Linked DNA regions of Ovis aries. The protein of the gene in region 1 interacts with the protein of each later gene in a biochemical or structural test. Links are inferred from orthologs where the notes say so. Each region holds a gene or a part of one and is shown in the gene's direction. Other genes may lie near its edges.

Evidence for each region.
Region 2: the proteins of ARF6 (region 1) and HTR2A form a complex in vitro, tested with the Homo sapiens proteins (2 studies listed by BioGRID). The link is inferred for Ovis aries from reciprocal best matches to the Homo sapiens genes ARF6 and HTR2A.

Annotation. Positions count from the first base shown.
Region 1 is NC_056060.1:41,105,796-41,111,724, forward strand, and holds ARF6 (ADP-ribosylation factor 6), read left to right. Parts: upstream 1-2,891; coding exon 2,892-3,419; downstream 3,420-5,929. UniProt on the Homo sapiens protein: GTP-binding protein involved in protein trafficking that regulates endocytic recycling and cytoskeleton remodeling. GTP-bound form plays an important role in the transport of multiple palmitoylated proteins form the Golgi to the plasma membrane.
Region 2 is NC_056063.1:17,204,088-17,211,775, reverse strand, and holds the start of HTR2A (5-hydroxytryptamine receptor 2A), read left to right. Parts: upstream 1-3,589; 5' UTR 3,590-3,749; intron 3,750-4,204; 5' UTR 4,205-4,536; coding exon 4,537-4,948; intron 4,949-7,688. UniProt on the Homo sapiens protein: G-protein coupled receptor for 5-hydroxytryptamine (serotonin).

The DNA of each region.
Region 1 (5,929 bases):
ACTTCTAGGTCAGCCCCCCATATCCCAGGTTTCACATGTGGATTCAACCAACCCGGATTGTGTAGTAACATACTACAAATCTACCGAAAAAAAAAATAAAAAAGCCAAGTACTGATACAAGTGGATGTGTGCCATTCAAACCCATGGTGTTCAAGAGTCAACTATAACATAATCGAGCTTCCAACCAACCGTGTGAAGTTCTCAGGGAGACAGCATAAATTTGGGTTAAGAGGATGAGCCATAGATTCACCATTTGATCGCAACACTAGAACCTTCAAAAACTTACTTAACCTCTCTGACCCTCAGTTTCCACTAATACTTAAAGTTACCTCACATGGTTGTTGTGCAGGTTGAAGGAAAATATTTAAAGTATGTAATACAGTGTTCCTTGGAGAAGGTGATGGCACCCCACTCCAGTACTCTTGCCTGGAAAATCTCAAGGATGGAGGAGCCTGGTGGGCTGCAGTCCATGGGGTCAGGAAGAGTTGGACACGACTGAGTGACTTCACTTTCACGTTTCACTTTCATGCATTGGAGAAGGAAATGGCGACCCACTCCAGTGTTCTTGCCTGGAGAATCCCAGGGACAGGGGAGCCTGGTGGGCTGCCGTCTATAGGGTCGCACAGAGTCGGACACGACTGTTCATGACAATCAATATAGTGACTTTCATTCTAGATGATATCATTTTTCATCTGTTTCAACAGCTTAAAGAAGATGGAATTTACAAAGGTTTAGAGGAAAGGATTCACAGCTATGAAATGGAGGGGTGACACTCTGAACCCCAATCTTCTGACTCTAAATCTTTCTTTCAATTTTAAGACAGTGCATGCATATTCAGGCTGATGGTAAGTAAATCACTGCTAGAATATTAATAACTTTGGTAAGTAAATTTACTTCAGGCTGACGTTTATGAGGTTATCATTTAACCCATCTACCACTATCACATTTTCTTAAACTGTGAAGAAAGAAGTATGTTACCTTATGTTATTACAGCATTTTCTTTAAAAAAAGAACATTATTTTCCCGTTTTTCGTTCATTTCCAGCTTTCACTTTAGGTCTAGCTTTACCAATAAACATCTGACACAAAAAGGTTTCCTTAAGTTTTCTACAAACATTATACTTATTACTTAACCCTCAAATAGGGTTTGTGGACAGCAAAGTCAGTAGTACACTCAGTTTAAACATGAGATAACTCAGTAAGGTTAAATGCTCAAATCGAGGCAACAGAAGTAGTCTTTCTAATTCTTAAAGTTGAGAATGAGTGGCTGCTGCTGCAGCTGCTGCTAAGTCGCTTCAGTCGTGTTCGACTCTGTGCGACCCCATAGACGGCGGCCCACCAGGCTCCCCCGTCCCTGGGATCCTCCAGGCAAGAACACTGGAGTGGGTTGCCATTTCCTTCTCCAAATGAGTGGCTGGGTAAGAAGTTATTATTAATTACACTAAAAGATGATAATATTTATACATGAAAATTTATCACCTCCTAAAAAGCTGAAAAAGCATGGAAACTGTTGATAATACTGTAATTAAAAAAACACAAAACAAAAACGTGGACTGGTCCTGCCGAGATGTGTTGAGATTGGGCTCAAATGCCCCAAAGACGGGCTTGAGAACAAACCGAAGCCCAGTAAAAGCGCCGCACTGACTGGCAGATTCCACGCGAACCACTTGCCTCCCACGTGTCTTTCAGGAAACGCACAGAACACGAGGGATAAAAGGAAGCCAAAGAGGGCCAGGGGAAAGGTAAAAACCGTGGCTACGGCTTCCCTGGGAGACTGAGGGCTCCCGAAGGCTGCGGCAGGCTGGAGGGACCTCGCGGAGCATCAGGCAGGTATCGGGGTCTGCGAACAGGCCTGGAAGGAGCACGGGGAAGGCGTTCGTTGGGGGAGCGGGCGGTCCGTGAGCCCCACCCCTTGGAGCTCCGTAGAGGATCAGCTCCCCTGGATCGAGTTGGGAGTGGAGGAAGTGAGAGCGCAGAAGAAGGAACGCATAGAGGAAGGAATCGCTAGAGGAGCGACAGACAGGTGGGAGCTAGTCAGAGTCCCAGGTTCGCGGGGGTGCGGGTTGGCCGCACCCGCGAGACCTCCGGGCCGCCGTAGCCCCGCCCCCAGCGCGTGGCGCCCCGACGCTTGGCGCGCGGGCCGCTCTCCTTACAGAGGTCGCTCTTGCCCGAACGGTTGGACTCCCTCTGTTGCGCCTGCGTAGTCGGGAGGGGAAGTGAGGCGGTTTCCTCGGCGCCTTTTCCGGCGGCGGCAGCGGCAGAACTGGGAGGAGGCTGTGGAGGCCGGAGGGAGCCCGCGCGCGGGGCGGCGGCTGGAGGTAACCTCCTGGGCTGAGCTGACGAGGCGGGCCCCCTCGGCTTCCACTCTCCGCTGGGGCTCCCGCAGTAACTCCTTTTTCCCTCTCTGTGTCTCCGCAGGCAGCGCACCGAGTTCCCGCGAGGATCTATGACCTGACCGGGCGCCAGAGCCGCGCTGCCTCTCGGGTGGCCTGGGTCGGTGGTGAGCGCGGTGCTCGCGGACCGGGGACCGGGCCGAAGGGCCGCAGTCTTCCAGGAGAAGGCGGAGGAGCGGGAACCGCGGCGGCGCTCGCGCGGCGCCTGCGGGGGGAAGGGCAGTTCCGGGCCGGGCCGCGCCTCAGCAGGGCGGCGGCTCTCCCGGCGCAGACTCAGCGCCCGGCGGCCGCGGCGCCTGGAGGAATCAAGTTGTGTGGTGGGTGATGCCCGAGTGAGCGGCGGGCCCGGGCCTCTGCCCAGAGGAGGCGACTCCCACGCAGGCCGCACGGGCGCCCTCGCGACTGGGAGGCTCCGTTTCTGTTTCGCGGCTGCGGCGGCGTTGTTGGCGGAGGGGACCCGGGACACCTGAATGCCCCCGGCCCCGGCTCTTCCGACGCGATGGGGAAGGTGCTATCTAAGATCTTCGGGAACAAGGAAATGCGGATCCTCATGTTGGGCCTGGACGCGGCCGGCAAGACAACCATCCTGTACAAGTTGAAGCTGGGCCAGTCGGTGACCACCATCCCCACTGTGGGTTTCAACGTGGAGACGGTGACTTACAAAAACGTCAAGTTCAACGTATGGGATGTGGGCGGCCAGGACAAGATCCGGCCGCTCTGGCGGCATTACTACACCGGGACCCAGGGTCTGATCTTCGTAGTGGACTGCGCCGACCGCGACCGCATCGACGAGGCCCGCCAGGAGCTGCACCGCATTATCAATGACCGGGAGATGAGGGACGCCATAATCCTCATCTTCGCCAACAAGCAGGACCTCCCCGATGCCATGAAACCCCACGAGATCCAGGAGAAACTGGGCCTGACCCGGATTCGGGACAGGAACTGGTATGTGCAGCCCTCCTGTGCCACCTCGGGGGACGGACTCTATGAGGGGCTCACATGGTTAACCTCTAACTACAAATCCTAATGAGCATTCTCCACCCATCCCCCGGAAAGGAGAGAAATCAAAAACCCATTCATAGGATTATCGCCACCATCACCTCTTTCAATTGCCACTTTCTCTTCTTTTGAATTTGAACTCTGGAGTTACAGTTCTGCGGTTTGGGGGAGGGGGTTAGGGATTTTCTTTCTTTTTTTGCTTTGCGTTAGGATGCTCTGATCTGACTTTTTGACATGAACACAAAGTGCTAGATGCTCTTGTTGACTTCCAGCAAATGGGATGGGGGAAATATAGCAGTTCTTGGTAAATTCCTTTATAATAATGGTTTGATTTTTTTATCTCGAGAGAATCTTCTTTTCCAATGTATGCTTTTTTCCTTTTTGCCCAGTTTCCTTATCACTTGCTGTAGATGGCTTATTTTGCATTCATGCAGACTATGTTGCAAGTCTGTTTCATCTAGTAAACTGAAAATTATTGCTTAATCAAACTGCTGTTTGTCTTTTATATTTAAGGCCTTTTCGCCCCCTCTTATGAGTTCTGACTTTAAGTAAATTCAAATGTGACCTTTTATATCTAAGACCAGTATAGTAAACTTAGCCCACAGTGGCAAATAATGAGTAATATCCTTGTAATATGTTCCAGTTGCACATCAGTATGTTAAACAGATAATGTAAGCAGTTCTTTGAAATTTCAGCTATTAAGTTCTGAAACGTACATCATGCATGAGTAAGGATAAAACTCAAGTTCCCCATTGCAAAGCTAACTTACACTGCATAAAACTGAAAATATAACCTGTCAAGGACGCAGATTTTTTTTCACTTCAAAATTAGCAACTTTGCTGTGTTTTCCCTCTTTGTTAACTTTAAAAACATACTCTTCCAGAAAATGGAGCAATAATGGTGTATAACATACTCAGATGAAATATTTGTAGATATTTTAAGTGACTTTTGGGCAAAACTGGAATATATCCTTTTACCATGTTTCAAATATCTAAAGACCAGTAGATTTTAAATTACTGGAATGGTTATTTTGTTCATTAATTAATTATTTAACAATTCAAATTATATGCACCTTTTACCTAGTTGAAAAAAACCTGTTTCCACATTACAGCAACTGATTAACCTGAAGATGTCTTTTTTTTTTTTTAGTAAATGAGTGATCCATATCCATTAATTAGAACACTGGAAAAGATGTTTTATAAAAAGTATTCTGTTGGATTAACTCATGCAAATAGATATCCTGTTGGTTCAAAAATACACTATCTCCTTTAAGGAAGGAAATGTGATGAATGAATGATGTGTAGACTTGAGGAATGACAAAGGGGAAGTAAGATGTAGAAGAAGAACCTACAGATGACAATGAATGTAAACTTATTTTTCTTCAAGTGTAAGCAGTGTGCTTGCTGGTGATACCCAGATCTTAACAAGATTACTTGCTTAGCTGGTTAGGACCAGTAACTAGATTATTGAGACCACTATGATAAAACTTTGAACCAAATGTTAATGCTTGGTATAGAACAGTGTAGCAGCATCTGGTTCTCGTATAGCCTTAAGGATTAATTGTAGAGATCCTCAAGGAATTAAAACTTAGGGAATTTCAAAAATGTAGACTGCAAACGCAGTTTACAGGAAAAGGTGAAGTGGGTTTTGTTTATGAGGGTGTCTGAAAACAAAAATTGAACGGGATATCATGGTATATGATTGGACAGTATTGGTCCTTCATGCTTTGGCCATATTGTATAATGGAGCTTTTACCAAAGATGTATGAGAAATACAAGGCTATAGAAAATTAACTCTTCAAAGTAAAACTCTTGACAAACGTTTTACTTAAAGCAGATGAGAAAAGGTGCTATGTTGTAGGCTCCTAATGGTGCAGAGGGATTTTTGAATTCAAAATGCAACTAAAGTATCAAGTTCTCAGTTTCACTTTAGTAGAAGTATCTCTGGAAATGAAGCTGACACACATCTAAGAACATTTTCGTTGCTTTTAAAATTCCCAAAGCTCCATCATACATTTAATTACTAGTGTTTTAAATGATTACATATAAGGTACATAAACATGGGTTATACAAATATCAATATTACAGTAACATCCTGAAGAGACAAGCACAAAGGTATAAATGCCTAAACTGGAGGAAACTTGAAACCCTCATGTTAATTCTTAAATGTAGTATTTCTAACTTGTGACAAGACATTGGTAGGCAGCCATTTTTGTGTCTTAAAATAACTGGGAGCATAGTTAAAATTTTATACATCAAGTGATTGCTAAGGAATGTTGCAGGTGAGATGTGGTTATTTTTAGTTTATTTGAAATGTCTTAAGGTGGGGGGAGGAGGGGGAGCAAATATTTGAAATTTGGAAAACCCTAAACCTTTTGATAAGAAATTGTAATTTTCACTTATGTTATCTTTAAGGATATAAAAGGTTGATAAATTGGTGTAGTTAAATTGAGCCATAACCATTGGTGATCATGGGGACCGGTAATTAAGCCTGCAGAAAAAAATTACAATCTAAGAATTTAAGAAATAAGATCCTGAG
Region 2 (7,688 bases), on another chromosome or scaffold:
AATTAGAGAGTAAACCCTATCTTCGCTACCTAAAGATAGTATCTATTGAAGAACTCCAAGTGAGTAGCAAGAAAGGACTCATCAATATAAATAATAATTATCTTTCTGTCTCTGTAAACCATGCAAGTCTTCCTTACGTGGCATAAAGGCACTGAAACGCAAGTTTAAAATTGGAAGTCTTAGGTTGGGCGCCTTAGGAACCCTTGTGTGTAGATTCACTAGGGAAAGCTTCAGACCAACAGCTGTAGGGAAGCAGGGCCAGCCAGGGGGAGGACTTTAACTGTGATGCAGCCACCACAAAGGTGGGGCACTCTGGAACAGGGGAGGGATCCGCTGAGAGCCGACAGCTGCCAACACTTCCAGCAGCAGATAGAGGGAGAGCCTTAGCCCTCTTATTCAGTTATATATATACACATATGCATACATATACACATGCTGCTGCTGAGTCACTTCAGTCGTGTCCGACTCTGTGCGACCCCACAGACGGCAGCCCACCAGGCTCCCCCGTCCCTGGGATTCTCCAGGCAAGAACACTGGAGTGGGCTGCCATTTCCTTCTCCAATGCATGGAAGTGAAGAGTGAAAGCGGAGTCGCTCAGTCGTGTCCGACCCTCAGCGACCCCATGGACTGCAGCCCACCAGGCTCCCCCATCCCCGGGATTCTCCAGGCAAGAACACTGGAGTGGGTTGCCATTTCCTTCTCCAATACATGAAAGTGAAAAATAAAACTGAAGTCGCTCAGTCATGTCCGACCCTCAGCGACCCCATGGACTGCAGTCTTCCAGGCTCCTCCATCCATGGAATCTTCGAGGCAAGAGTAACATATACATATATATATATAATATATATGTATGTAAATATATATTCTTTTTCATATTATTTTCCATCGTGGTTTATTATGATATTAAATATAGTTCCTTATGCTACACAGTAGGACCTTATTGCTTCCTTTGCCTTTTATAAATAAAATTAATCCCGTTGGATAAAACAATGAAAAAGGAGTTAGAATTTTCTCCCTGAATCAGTTCATTTATTCCTTAACAATAATGCATCTACCAAGGACATCCCATTAGGGGACGTTATGTTTGGTACTGAAGGTACAGAGATGAATAAGAAGTTCACTGTCTAATAAGGACGACAGACATGTAAACAAGTGACTATAAATCATTCATTCATTCCACAAACACATCTAAGCACCAACTATATATACCATGAATAATAAAAACATAATCTTTGCCCTTCTAGCGCTTGCATGCAATGTGGGACGCGTTCAAATAGAAGGTGCTATAGTCTGCCTCCGTGCAGAAAGAATGCCATGGAAAGCTTTGTAACAGTAAGCCAAACAACAGTAGTAACAACAGCAACTAACCTTTACTGAGGGTGTAAAATGTTCCAGGCAAATACATGAATCTTAACTCTCAAATCAATCCCCAGAGGTAGATATTATTATTACATCCTATTTATAGATGAGGAAGTCACAGCACAGAGAGGTTAGTAGTTTCACCCACATCACACAGGTGGTAACGGTTGGCCTGGGATTCAGAGGACATAACATTGGAACTGAGCCTTGAAAGCTGAGTAGCAATCTGCGAAATGGACACAAAAGTGGTGGGGGGAGTATTCCAGACACAGTGAACGGGAGTGAAATGCTTTAAAATCATCAGAAATTGACAAATTCATCTGCATGTAGGCCGCTGGTGGGAGCAGTGGGGGATGGGCACAGACAGGAGCCGCGTGCCCTAGGGAGACTGAAGGCATGTTGGCACAAAGTGCCACATTTAGTAATATCAGTAAGAATATTAATAAGAATTAAAGCGGCTAACATTCTTCCAGAGCAGCCAGACATAGGCTAAATATTTCTACTCCTTATCACATTTTAGTTTTACTGCAATCAAATGAAGCAACTTGACTGTCTGTTACTCCTTGTGAGTAACAGAGCTGTGGCTCAAACCTGGGGAACTCTGATTCAAAAGCCCGTGCTCTCTCCGCAGCTGGCTCTGTAATACGTGGCAATCAACCCCCATCCCAAGGGAAGCAGAGGAGTCAGAGGAAGACAGGAAGGGCAGAGAGGGGTGGATTCCTGCTCCAGCCCAGGAGACAATGAGAAAGTGAAAGTGTTCATTGCTCAGTCCTGTCTGACTGGTCTGAGACCCCATGGACTGTGGCCTGCCAGGCTCCTCTGTCCATGGGATTCTGCAGGCAAGAATACTGGAGTGGGTTGCCATTTCCTTCTCCAGGGACTCTTCCTCACCCAAGTATCGAACCCCAGTCTCCCACATTGCAGGCAGACTCTTTACCACCAGGGAAGCCCAGGAGAATATGATACAGCCTTTAATCAAACAAGTGAGGGTTGTAGGCTGGAGAAGAGATTCGAGAAATGTGTACACAGAGGTGGCCCTGGAGACTTAAGATCAGGCAGTGAAAAGGAGGGAAGAGATGTGGAAAATAGCCAGCTGTCTGAGAGAGGGTGATTCTCTAACCGAGTGGAAGGATGGGAATAAGCAGGAAGAGGTGGGGGCAGAACGGGAGAGGGGGAAATGATGCTCAGGCCAACATCGCCCAGGCTAGAGATGAAAGGGCCTGCTGGGCAACTAAATATCTGAGGCAAATCCACCGTGAAGGCACAGATTGGCCAAAACCATGTTAAAGGAATGAGAAAGGAGGTGTATTTGGCTAAGGAAAATGTAAAGAATAAAAAGATGAACAGAAACCTAGAAAACCTCAACTATTCAGGAAAGAATCCATTTTCCCACATACACACACAGAGATTCCAGACATATCTGCCTTATTTAAAAATCTGAGAAGGAGCTTTCTTACAAGTAAAGGTGACTGTTCTTAATGTTATCTCTGGAAAAACTTATTCTCTTCCCCGTGGGAAGTATTGGATTACTTCTAGGGGGTATATTTCTGCTGCAGAAAATAAGCTAGTTTAATGGGTATGTTTAAAAATGTGAAGGAAAAAAAAAAAAATAGTACTAATAGCTTCTCAGCGTTATTACCAAAAATCTGCTAGGCATTCTGAGCCCAAATCGCGGAAGTCAGGAATTCCACTTTGGAATAAGCTCTCTGCCTGGAAGCACAAGCGCTCCGAGGAAATACCATTCTCTGCCTTTACTTACATTCTCTCTTCACCTTTCACCCTAAACAATATCACAGTAGGGCTTACCTGCCTTAGGAATCTGTACCAAAGGCGATTTCTCCCGTTACTCTCTTTAAAATTTAAAAAAAAAAAAAAAAAAAGGAAAACTTCCCACTGTTAATATGTAGCAAATGAAAAAAAAAAAAAAAACAGCCCTTCTGGTCCGCCCTCCCTGACTGTTGCTACCTTGCAGTTTATGACACAGACTGAGGGAGGGCTGCCGGAGCGAACCAGGCGGCGGTGGGGAGCAAGTCCCTTGCCGGGGACGCGGGAGTCCCTGGAGTGGGCGGCTGTGCCCACTGGAAGCCCGCGACGCGGTCCGCACGGCCGGGGACCATGTCTCCGCGCGCCCTGCCCGGCGAGCCCCGCGGGAGGGAGGGAGCACCCAGCCGGGCGGGGGCAGAGGGAGCCGCCGCGGACCTGGCAACGCTGGCACTGGCTCGACTCTCCCAGACAGTTTTGAAGTCAGCAAAACAGAAATCGAATTACTACGATGCTGGCAGTGGCCGCTCGGGGAGAAGGGGCTCTCTCTGCCGGCTTGATCACCAGGAGAGATGCAGCGAGTCACAGATGAGCCGAGCGTGTCTCCCGGGCGGACCCTGAGGACCCGTGTAAGTTGCCGCGCTCTCCGGCTGGCTGCTGTGTTTTACGCTTGTGTCATTTTCTTTCTGGCTTGAAAGGCTGCTTGGCCGCCATGGAATTGTTTCGATGAGAATTCCCAGTGTGGAAAGTTGTCTGCTGATCCTTAAGATTTTTTTTTTTTTTTCCCTTTGATTAACTAAGCCACAGAATACAAGCTGAAATTCCTGAAGGCAGTCGGGGCAATGCATCCCAAGACTGACAACTATAACCCAAAGTACCACTATACTTACTATGGGATTTACCCTGGATGTGTTTTTAACAGCCTGCCGTACTGTAGGCTGCCTGCAGCCCCACTGTTTGGGATCGAATGCTATTTTAACGCTGCTGTGGCTAAACTAGTATGATCAGTGTAACCAATGGAATGAGATAGAGCTAAATGACAGTCCTGGTAGTTAACAAAACTTTTCTTTTTTTTTTTGGCCAGGATTATATTTTTCTCCCTGACTCCTCAAAACTCAGCAACCTCTCTCTTAAAAGTTTATGCTGCTTTTTTGATCTTGCTTTGGAGAGAAAAAAAAGAAAAGAAGCTAGACAGAGGATTCTACTGAAATTGTGAAGGAAAGCACTGTAAAGAAGCCACCGCAGTTCTTTATCTTCTATTGTAATAATGGAAGAAGAAAAGCCAACCGATGGAGCCCAGCACATACGCCAGCCTCATTGTGACAGAGCTTGGGGACATAAAGCTGAATGGTGACCAGAGCCTGTAACCGGTAAGGTTTTTCTTACACTTCATCTGCTACAAGTTCCGGCTTAGAAATGGATATTCTCTGTGAAGAAAACACTTCTTTGAGCTCAACTACGAACTCCTTAATGCAATTACATGCTGACACAAGGCTCTACAATACTGACTTTAACTCCGGAGAAGGTAACACTTCGGATGCATTTAACTGGACCGTGGACTCGGAAAATCGAACCAACCTTTCCTGTGAGGGCTGTCTCTCACCACCCTGCTTCTCCTTACTTCATCTCCAGGAAAAGAACTGGTCTGCTCTGTTGACAGCGGTAGTGATTATACTAACCATTGCCGGAAACATACTCGTCATCATGGCAGTGTCCCTAGAGAAAAAGCTGCAGAATGCCACCAACTATTTCCTGATGTCACTCGCCATAGCTGATATGCTGCTGGGTTTCCTGGTCATGCCCGTGTCCATGTTAACCATCCTCTATGGTGAGTGGCATTAGCTTCCTAGCTGTACCCACATGGGTAACAAAACGCACGCATGTCATTAGCAGATGAGTCTGGGCTCAGGGGACCAACTAAGCGTAAGGCTTTGTTTATGGAGGAGGGGCTACCATGTTATACTACTTAAATTTTAAAATGAGATCACATTGTAAAAGATCAGACAAACTGTATGCTGTGATCATTGGAGAGTTTTGTGCTTTGAAACATACACAGTTTACACAGGGAGAGAAAGCATTGTGCTTAAAAGCACGTACATTTTATGTAGAATTATAAAGGTCCCAAGACAGTCCTAAAGCAATAGCATCTGTCATATCTGAATCCACTTGGTTTTCAAGCCTTTATATTCCCAACCAAATATCCCAGCCTTCGAGACAGGCCAGTTTGATCTTGGTCACACTGCTTTCAGTACTTCTAATGGAGTGGTAAAACCTTCCCAGTTCCCTTGGAATATTTACAGAGAGAACATTAGTAGTGCAGTGGGTTTAATGTTAAAATATGCAGCGTCTCCATTAGACTAAATGACTTATACCAGTTTTAATTGTTCCCTGCCTGAAGCAGCATTAATTTGGAGGTGTGCCTTTGAATTCTACCCCTCAGCTCTTTAAAAATGCATATGCATAAACTCCTCCCGAATTGTTTGGAGGAGGGTGGGAAACACATGGGAAGAGATTTATCTTGCCTCTTCTCAGTGGAGTTTGAAAGAGTCAAACCTCTCAGCAAGTCAGCAAACACTGGGACGACTTCAGCGGGAAGCAGAATGTGATATTCTTTCCAAATTATGAGTAATATAGCCAGATGTCTCCGTTTAAAAGTGGAAGAGGAGGGGAGATTATTGAGACCGCTGACACAGGCACACCAGCCCGTCACCTAGAGCTAGAAACAGTTTATGGGCATTTTTAGAAGGGATTTTTCTGGCTATGTCTTAAGACCTAAAATATGTGTATCAATCCATCCCCAAGCAGTATGGAGGAGGAAGGAGGTGAGCAAGGGAGCGTGGGCGTCAGGTTTGCACAGGGTCCACAGTGCTCCTTGCAAGGCCAGCCCCCGCTTGACGACTCAAAATGTCACACCAGGATGATCTGATTACATTCGCTTGTCATTTCCCAGACATCCGGGAGAGGTCCCCGCTTCCTAAAACCCTGCCATGTGGAAGGCAAACTCCAGGAGTGGGAGATGGCTCCCAGAGGGCCCATCCGGGAACCCAAGCCCCGGTGGGAGGCGGGGAGCGGTAGGTACCCCAGAGCGGCGAGTGGGGCTGGCAGATGTCAGCCAGGTTAGCAAGTCGAGTCCAGCTGGGCACCGCCGGCTCGGGGTGCAATGGTGCCCCCTGGTGGCCGAGGCTCTGTGCGCAGTTGATTCCCGAGAGAGACGCGCCTCTCCTTTGGCTGGTCCCCAGGACTCCACAGAAATGCCCCCTCCTTATCCCCACCACAGAAACCCAGACTACGGTCAGCCGCTGCCTCCTTGCAGAGAAAACTCCTCCCACGGTCAGCATCAGTTCCGACCAGGCAGCGGGTGGTTTCCTCCCAGGCACTGGGCTCTCCTTGGAGCTCAAGCTCTCTGCATACAGCATAAAAGGCGCCAAGTCAGACTTGTCTCCTGCGCTTTAACTTTTCTAAACATCAGTGGTGGCGTCTTGGTAGAGATGGTTTGTGAATAGAGACTTTGTTCAGCTTTGCGGGTCCAGAGCGTGGGGAAAGATGGTTTTCATAATTTTCCTTCTTAACATGTGTGCAGATCTAACACCACGGCTTAGATTGTCATCAAAACTAAGGAAGGTTCCTATAACCATTTGATCTCCCTCTAAAACAGATACAGGAGACTGTGTGTCCCTCAGACATACCCTATCTTTTTAACATAGCAGGTGACTTCCTGCCCTGCATCTCACAGTGGATCCTTATGGTAGCTTTAAGTCAATTTAATGTTGAGGTCCAACTTCCACCCACCCTCCTGGATATCAGGACACCCAGAAAAGCTGTTCAACTGATTCTAATGTGCACCCCTGGGTGAGAACCACTGCTCCAGGCAGTGGTTGCCCAAGTGTGGTTCCTGGACAGGTAGCATCCGTACCAGCTGGGAAATTGTTAGAAATGCAATTCTTCCTGCTCCACTGCACATGCGTAGAATCAGAACACCTGGAGGCGGGCTCCAGTGGCTCATTTTAAGAAACCACCTCGGAGATTCTGAGGCTCCTTCAAGTTTCAGCATCACTTCCCTGAAACAGTTCTCAGAAGAATACCATCCTTTTCTTCACCACTGTCTTCATCCCTCCTGCCCCACCTCCTGTCCCTCCAGTTTGAATTTAATCCCCAAATTATTAGGGAAGCTTCATTTTCATGAAGGCATATACCCAGTCTGTGGAGAAGGGCATGGCAACCCATTCCAGTATTCTTGCCTGGAGAATCCCAGGGAGAGAGGGGCCTGGTGGGCTATAGCCCACAGGGTCTCACAGAGCCGGACATGACTGAAGAAACAGCATGCACACATGCCCAGTCTGGATTTTTAAACATTTCTTCATTCACACCAATAGCATTTTTGGCAGACTGCTAAATGCCGTCACTGCACAAGACTGAGCAATTGTAATAATGGCTAAGAGATGGTCTAACCTCAGGAAACCTACAGTCTGAAAAAAAGTAAGTCAATAAGTAAGTAGCTAATAGGATTCTTTGACCAGGCTCCCCTGTCCATGGAATTCCCCAGGGTTCTTTGATAGAGGAACCCAAAG